Drosophila melanogaster: one gene and its partner. The protein of the gene in region 1 interacts with the protein of each later gene in a pairwise test. Each region holds a gene or a part of one and is shown in the gene's direction. Other genes may lie near its edges. The genes, in order: RabGGTa and RabGGTb.

What was found.
Region 2: the proteins of RabGGTa (region 1) and RabGGTb interact in a two-hybrid assay, tested with the Drosophila melanogaster proteins (2 studies listed by BioGRID).

What each region holds. Positions count from the first base shown.
Region 1 is NT_033777.3:5,126,280-5,130,474, forward strand, and holds RabGGTa (Rab geranylgeranyltransferase subunit alpha), read left to right. Parts: upstream 1-1,807; 5' UTR 1,808-1,888; coding exon 1,889-3,436; 3' UTR 3,437-3,660; downstream 3,661-4,195.
Region 2 is NT_033779.5:2,877,019-2,881,302, forward strand, and holds RabGGTb (Rab geranylgeranyltransferase subunit beta), read left to right. Parts: upstream 1-2,093; 5' UTR 2,094-2,245; coding exon 2,246-2,861; intron 2,862-3,025; coding exon 3,026-3,453; 3' UTR 3,454-3,690; downstream 3,691-4,284. Other genes in the region: Prx6a (peroxiredoxin 6a), read right to left, coding at 170-371, 593-785, 846-1,119; Sbat (sabbat), read left to right, coding at 1,575-1,940; NTPase, read right to left, coding at 4,210-4,284.

The sequences.
Region 1 (4,195 bases):
GCACCTTTGTATAATTAATGATTTGTACGATCTGCATCAACAAATATAACACACGTTAAATTGATTTAAATCATAAATCAGTGTTATTATCTATCATCAGGCGTGTAGTCAGACTTCAAAATCTTTCGTCTAATCTTAGAATTCAGCACTGGCAGACAATTCAATGGCAGACAAGTGACCCGCATTTAAATATTTTATATACAATTTAAGGATAGGATAGGAATACTAAATACTAGAATTCTAGTGTCTTTGCGCTAACCCATACAGAAATAAAACTGAAGCTGGACTCCAAATTTATACATTAAAACCAAAAATATTCATGATTTTCTTCATTATAAAAGTGCATGTGCATCAGATTCTACAAGGAATTTCCAAATAATAAAAAGTTTAAATCAACTGTACTTATCTAGCTTTTATAGTTCCCGATATCGCAGCGATCATCCATATATATATGTATATACTCTGTAGGGTCGAAAACGCATCCTGTTACATACTTATCAAGGAATCTACTAATCCCTCTATATAAGTTACGTGTATTAAATTGAGGTTTAAAGTAGTTTCGCTGCGCCACACCCTGAAAATTATATAAAAAAGTTATTCTATTATCCATTATTATTAAAAAATAAAAATTTTATTTAAGAAATAATTTAATTAATAATAAATAATATTAATAATTTTAAATCGTTTATGCAAACAACACTGCGTTTTACTCTTAAGACATCAAATAAAGCGCCACCTTGCGTCCAAATCACTAATTCCACTTTTACTAGCTAGCTAAGTGCCACCTTCCGGATGTTTCGGGGTTCGATACAATGAACTTGTGTAAGATTGCATATGTCAAGACAATGCCTGAGTGCTACGAAATCTTATTAAATGTAAAATGTGCTACGAACTTTATAAATCAACGAAAATATGATGGCACGGCTCATTTTTGAAAGGAAAAGGTACAAGACTTCTGTAGTAATTGCTTGTCAACAATCGGGTCAAAAAATGTTCAATTAACATGAGATTAGATATCAGATTATATATAATTATTAGAAACTTATGCTGAGCTAATACATCCCATAAAACTTTTTTTTTCCTACACCGGAATTTAAAAATAAAGCGCTTTCGCATTTTAAGGTGTTTTCTCAGGCACCATCCCGATTTCTAAGGATGTGTTTCGATTAAAAACTGTTGAACTTGGGATGGCGAAGTGTGAAAGTACGTTACTTTCAAAATGAGATGTAAGATTGCTTTCAAAGATATTGAAGAAATCTTTTTGAAATAAAGAGTGGAATTTTAAAATTTACACTTTTTGGGAAAATAATTATTGTTTTGTATTTGCTGTAAAGGTAATAGATATCATATTTTGATAATATTTGTTTTCAATTCGCATCTTAAAATTGAATTTATGTTTTCCTTTGGAATACATATATTCCATGGCCTCTTCTATATTTTAAATTGAATTGCAATGACTATAAAATCGATTAGTTGTTAAGTTGTTTGAATGAATGATATGCACCTATTTTGTATTGCGTTGCAGAGGTTTGCATATTCTGTTAATTTTGTATATAAATTCGGAGTCTCGCCACTAAAATGCTTCCTGATTTGAGTATTTTGGCTGTTTACACGCCAATTACAGTATCATCTATTGGTAATTTTCAAATTGTTGAATATAAATTGTTGAATGAATTATAAACAATACGATTTTACTTAAGTAAGGAAATTGGGAAATTTTATTTTTTATTTCCAGTGCATGGAAAGGGTATTTCTTGAAAGTAAATTGGCATACGACGGTATTTACTTGTAGGACGGTTGGTATTTTTTATCGTTCCCGGCGCGGCCACACTGCTGACTAATAATTTTCGTATTTTGTAAATATTGGACTTTAATTCAATTCAGGGCAATGCACGGACGCGTAAAAGTGAGGACCACGGAGGAGGAGCGCGAGCGGAAGAAGAAGGAGCAGGCTCTGAAAGTCCGGGCCTACCGTGCAGCCATGGGAAGGATTCAGAAGAAGAGGGAGGCGGGTGAGCTGGACAACGAAATGCTCAGCCTGACAGTTCAGATCTTGCTGCGGAATCCGGATGTCAGCATGCTGTGGAACATCCGCAGGGAGTGCGTGCTGGAGAAGCTGTTCAGGCTAAAGGAAGAGGAGGCCACGTGCGAGACGCCCAGCGAGGAGAAGCCAGAGAAGGAAAACCAAACCGGTGAGAATAAGCCGAGTGAAAAGAAGGCCGCTGGCGAGGACAAGGCCCATTCCATTTTCACCTGCGAACTGGACCTCACCGAGCAGTGCCTAATGGTCAACCCGAAGTCCTACAACGCCTGGCACCACCGCTGCTGGACCCTGGAACAGAATCCCAGGGCGGACTGGCAGCAGGAGGTGAAACTGTGCAACAAGTACCTCAAATTCGACGAGCGCAACTTCCACACCTGGGACTACAGGCGCTATGTGACCGGCAAGGCCATGGTGCCGGCCACCCAGGAGCTGGACTTCTGCACCGAGAAGATCAGGGCTAACTTCTCCAACTACTCCAGCTGGCACCACCGCAGTCTCCTGCTTCCGGAGCTCTACCCCAACCAGCAGAGAGACCGGCCCATGAGTGAGGAGAAGTTGCAGAAGGAGCTTGAAATGGTGCTGACCGCTGCTTTCACGGATCCTAACGACAGCAGTGCTTGGTTCTACCAGCGCTGGTTGCTGGGCAGCGGCGCCCAGTTGGATCGGGCTCCAAGGATAGCTGCTTTTCGACTGGAGTCACATGGAGCAGTCCTCGCCCTTGACAAGCCCTACCCAGATATAAAGCAATTGAAGACTGAGCTAGTTGGGGGAGGACAAACGATTTTACTGGAGTTCTGGCTACCAGTGGACAAGCGTGGAACCAGTTGGAAGTGTCAGCAGAACTTCGATTACCAAAGAAACTCAGCTTACTCCCTTAGGCTCTCCGATCAGAAGGTTGACCTCTCGCCTCTGTCTGGCTCGGAAAACGGAGCCTATTACATTGCGCCGCCACACGGCACTACGAGTTGCAGCAAGGATCTCCTGGCGGAGCTGCAAACGCAGCTGCAATCCTGCCTAGATCTTCTGGAGTTTGAGCCGGACAGCAAGTGGACCCTACTAACAAGTGCCCTTCTAATGCGTGCTATCGATTTCTCAGCCAATCACGAAACGAGCTTGGCGCACTTGGCCAAGTTGGAAAAGGTGGATTTTTTAAGAGAGGGTTACTACAAGGACCTCGCTGCTAGGTGGACCTTGGAGTGGGAGCTTGCCAAGTGGCCCCAATCGGCCGACTTTCCCAAAAGATTTGACATAGCGAATGCCGTACTGCTGGAATCGCTTCCTTATGATCAATACTTAGTCATCGCTGATGAAATAACCTTGCCCAACAAACTGCGAGACAAATTGGGGGAATCAGTGCCCAAAACGTTTGCAGACTTGAAGTTGCAGTCATAGACCATTGGTGAATTGGTTTCGATAAGATAAGCCATATTTTACATTTGGTGCTGAACCGTTTTTGGTGATGTTGAAAGCCTTGAAAGAAGTGCAATCAATCGCTAAATTCCATTTTGAAATTATTCCTATTTATTCCTTGTACGAGTATGAGAAGAAATGTTATGTACATTACTAATACATATTTTTACTCTCTTTGTATATCGATGTGCAAATATACGAATAGTAAAATATCCGAGTTTAATTTTCCAGTAAATGGTTGCTAATAAGGAAATAACCAAGACGAGGTCGATTTCGATTGGAAATGAGAGTTTATTTTTATATGCTCCATGCTTACCAAGATGGATTTCCTATTCTTAGGAAATTCAAACAAATTGAACATGAATTTTAGGAAAAGTTCTTAAAACGCTCTTTGTCGGAATTCACACAACACAAATTTGCTTCTATCCGCAAGTGAAATCGATGACATCCGCAGCCATCCATTATCGAATGTTCCACGAGTTAAATGGGAAAACCATCAACACTGCTGCATGGAAACGCTGGCTACTTTAAGCGGTCCCGGAATCTGCCACAATGCTGAGGGTTTCTTTGACATTGCCACCATGTTGCAAATGCAGTTGCTGCTGCTGCTTCTGTTGTTGCCACCGATGTCGCCTCGCGTGTGCAGCGGGGAGCTGCGAGATTTGCGGTTTTTTGGCGGCTCTCGTGGTTATATAAATTATGCAAGACCCTCGAGGCGGAGATGCTCTGCGACGGGATGGC
Region 2 (4,284 bases), on another chromosome or scaffold:
TCGAATGTTTTGGCAATTTTGTCCAGCAGAAGGCGAGTTTTAGCCACCTGAAAGCGCCGATCTACTGAAAATACGGTTGTAAGCGTATACTTTATTGTGCATTATTTGTTGTTAATTATAATTTTTGTAATAAAGCAAAAAAAAAGTGAGAGCGCACGCTTGTCATCCATTAGGGCTGTGGAGTGATCCGCAGGTAACTCTTTCCGGAGGGCAGCTCAATGGTTTCGATACCATCAGGAAAGAGCTTAGGAACATCTTCGGCTTTGACGGTGGGCAAGACCATGCACTTGCCGCCCTGTTTCCAATCCGCCGGCGTCGCGACACTCTTTGTTTGGGTCAACTGGAGCGAGTCGATCACTCGAAGGATTTCACTGCAAAGGATATAGTTAAATGTAATTTGTCGGATTAATTGACCTTGAAATCGTTCCTATTTAACTTCCATTATTATATGCAAGGTTAGTACTTAGTTTTCAGCAATAATACTTCATTAAATAATTATCTGCTAATGCGATTAAGTGCACGATTGTTTGCTAAAGTGCATTACAGCATTACTTTATAGATAATGATGAATGCTAGATATTGGAATACCCACTCAAAGTTGCGCCCAGTGGTGGCAGGATACAGGATGGACAGGCGAAGCTTCTTCTTGTCGTCCACCACGAAAACGGCGCGACAGGTGAGGGGAATGCCCTCGGCATTGATCTCGTCCTTGTCCAGCATATTAAACTTGAGCGCCAGTTCCCTTTTGTCGTCCGCAATGATGGGATAGTCAAAGGAGCTCAGCTCTGCGAACAGAAACGCCAATTAGAAGCGATTCCTGTCCAGAAATCAGTGACCAAACCCACTGCCAAAGCTCTTGATGTCCTCGATCCAACCCTTGTGCGACTCCACGGTGTCGCAGGACAGTGCAATTGGCTTGACTCCACGCTTTTGGAATTCCGGAATCAATGCCGCCACCCGGGACAATTCCGTGGTGCAAACCGGCGTAAAATCCGCCGGATGGGAGAACAGAATGGCCCAGCTGTCCTGCATCCAGTCGTAGAAATCGATTCGACCCTCGCTGGTCTCAGCCGTGAAGTTTGGGAACTGATCGCCAATGTTTAAAGCCTTTCCGGACATGGTGGATATTTGAAAAAATCAAGAGACGAATTACGAGCTTTTTGGATAAATGCGAAACAAAATTTGCCGCAAAATGCAAATCAGCTGACTGGGCTAGGGTGCCCGTTACCTTTATAAGCTCAGCTCGACCAGGGATGCAAATATAAAAAGAACTAGTTTTCGTATGAAGATGTTAAAAAGAAGGCTCATTGTGTGCATTCATTTTGCAATCATTTCCTTTAAGTGTTTTAAATCTAAAGTATTTTCTTTGACACAAGCAAACGAGTGTTTCGTATATTTTCGAATTTATGAGCTCAAAAAGTGAACCAGTGAACCGAACCACTTACACGTGCTTGCATCCCTGGCCATTACTCATACACACGCACACTATATCACACATACGCGCAGTGTAAACACAAAAAAAGCTGAGAATTTCTTGCATTTATTTGTTTAAATTGAGCAAAGAGGATATAACCATGACAGAACTGAGCATCACTGGCCAGCAGGTGATGCCCCCGCCCGCATGCACACCACCGGAGCCCTTCCGCATCACAACGAACGCCCCGCACCAGATGAACGATGCCAGTTTGACGCCGGGACGCAGGAAGCTCCAGAAGTGGCTGGGTCGAGTTCTTCGGATCGTGATTACGGACGGACGCGTGCTGGTGGGATTCTTCAACTGCACGGACCGCGACGCCAACATCGTGCTGTCCATGTGCGCCGAGTACTTGGTGGAGGGCCAGGAGCCGCGCCTGCTGGGCAACGTCATGGTTCCCGGCCAGCACATAGTCTCCCTAAGCATCGACGAGCCGGATCCGCAGTCCAGCCTGCTGGTGCAATAGTGTGCATGTGTTTTGAATAAAATAAACTAGCTATTTGAAATTTAAGTACGTTTAATTTTTATTTTTGGATGGGGTTATAGTAAACCCCTCCACACTACGCCCCTGCGTCGATCAGCTGTTTGATAAGCCACTGCCGCGTTGCCAACCATCGCGCAGATGAATCAGCTGTGCTCGATTGGATTCACTGAGTTATTTGTTTGCTCGCAGCACTATTCCTGCCAATTAATAGAGTTAATCAAGCGAAACAGCGCGCCGAAGAGGATCTGCCAGCCACCCGATACTCATTCAATTGAGCCCAATCAGCGATGGACTTCACGACCTTCGTAAAGCCCTCAAATGGCGGTGGCGACAGCGGCGGTGGTGGTGATGCGGATGGCGGCGGCCAGAAGCTGCAGTTCTGGAAGCATGTGGAGTACATCGAGAACCATGGGAAGCAGGAGGACGACTACGAGTACTGCATGACCGAGTTTCTGCGCATGTCGGGCATCTATTGGGGCACCACTGCCCTGGACATTATGGGCCAGCTGGAGCGATTGGAGCGCAAGTCCATCATCGAGTTTGTGAAGCGTTGTCAGTGTCCGAACACGGGCGGATTCGCACCCTGCGAGGGCCACGATCCCCACCTGCTGTACACCCTGTCGGCCATCCAGATCCTCTGCACCTACGACGCCCTCGAGGAGATCGACCGCGAGGCGGTGGTCCGATTCGTGGTCGGACTGCAGCAGCCCGACGGCAGCTTCTTTGGCGACAAGTGGGGCGAGGTGGACACCAGGTTCAGCTTCTGTGCGGTGGCCTCCCTAACGCTGCTCGGCCGCATGGAGCAGACCATCGACGTGGAGAAGGCGGTCAAGTTCGTGCTCTCGTGCTGCAATCAGACGGACGGTGGATTCGGTTCCAAGCCGGGCGCCGAGTCGCATGCGGGTGAGTCACCACATCGCCTGTCATGCTTTCGCCCTCACAGTCAATATCATTTCAATTTAAACTTATTAATCTTCTGGGAACAAAAAGTATACTAGAAAAATAGCTAGCCATAAAGCTGGTGCTCATATATGTTATCCAAAAACTAATCTACATATAACCCGCAGGGCTCATCTACTGCTGCGTCGGCTTCTTCTCGCTGACCCATCGCCTGCATCTGCTCGACGTGGACAAACTGGGCTGGTGGCTCTGCGAGCGGCAGCTGCCCTCCGGTGGGCTAAATGGACGGCCCGAGAAGCTGCCGGATGTATGCTATTCGTGGTGGGTGCTCGCCTCGCTCACCATCATGGGCCGCCTGCACTGGATCAGCTCGGAGAAGCTGCAGCAGTTCATACTGTCGTGCCAGGACACGGAGACCGGTGGCTTCTCGGACAGAACTGGCAACATGCCGGACATATTCCACACGCTGTTCGGCATCGGCGGACTCTCGCTACTGGGACATTCCGGCCTGAAGGCCATCAACCCAACGCTCTGCATGCCGCAGTACATCATCGACCGGCTGGGCATCAAGCCGCAACTATTGCCGAGGCCATGAGGGGATTCATCGATTCCACATGCAGCCAGTGCGTAGCCAATGTGTAGTGCAGCAGACCTCTGACGTATTCCCACGCTAGCGTTTCTTAGTTTTATTTGTAAAAAGACCAAAATTCCATAGCAGGAACACCCTTTCTTTACTCATTTTCTTCGTTATGCATTTACCCCTCTATTATTATTAAATATAGAATATTTTGTATAGCGAACGAAAATCAGCAATAAACAAATATTTTACTTTAATTCAGATCAGTTAACATTTGATTTATTTGCAAAGATAACTAAACTAACATTTGCATGTGTGAAAAACCGTGTGAAATGTTTGCGGCTAGTAGTCTAGGTCGTTATACATATTAGGTAAATACATATCATTGTGTAAATTTATGTACATGAGGATACGATACGAGTGTAGGGACTAATTAGTTAAGAAGTTGGCAAAAAACTGCATTACAAATATGGCGAATCACACAAAATTGGAATTACAAACTAAACGCTAAGTGTAGTCACCGTGTATGGGTTAGCTCAATTAGAGGCAATTGAAACGAATCTTGCAGAGCACAAACAAATATTAATCGACCACATCATACATATGCTGTGGACAATGTCCGAGTGTGTGTTCTGTGTGTGTGTGGTGTGTGCGGTGTGTGCGGTGTGTTGTGATTGTAGTATACTCGATGCACGTCTAAGGCACTCTATAAACAATTTCAGCTAACAATCCGTTTAAAATTTATGTCTTCAACTACGGACTAATGGAGGAGCATTAGGAATTACTGAATTTCTCGTCGCTAGTCAGAACGTTGTATGCACAGCCGAGGGCCCAGGAGATTTCGTGGCC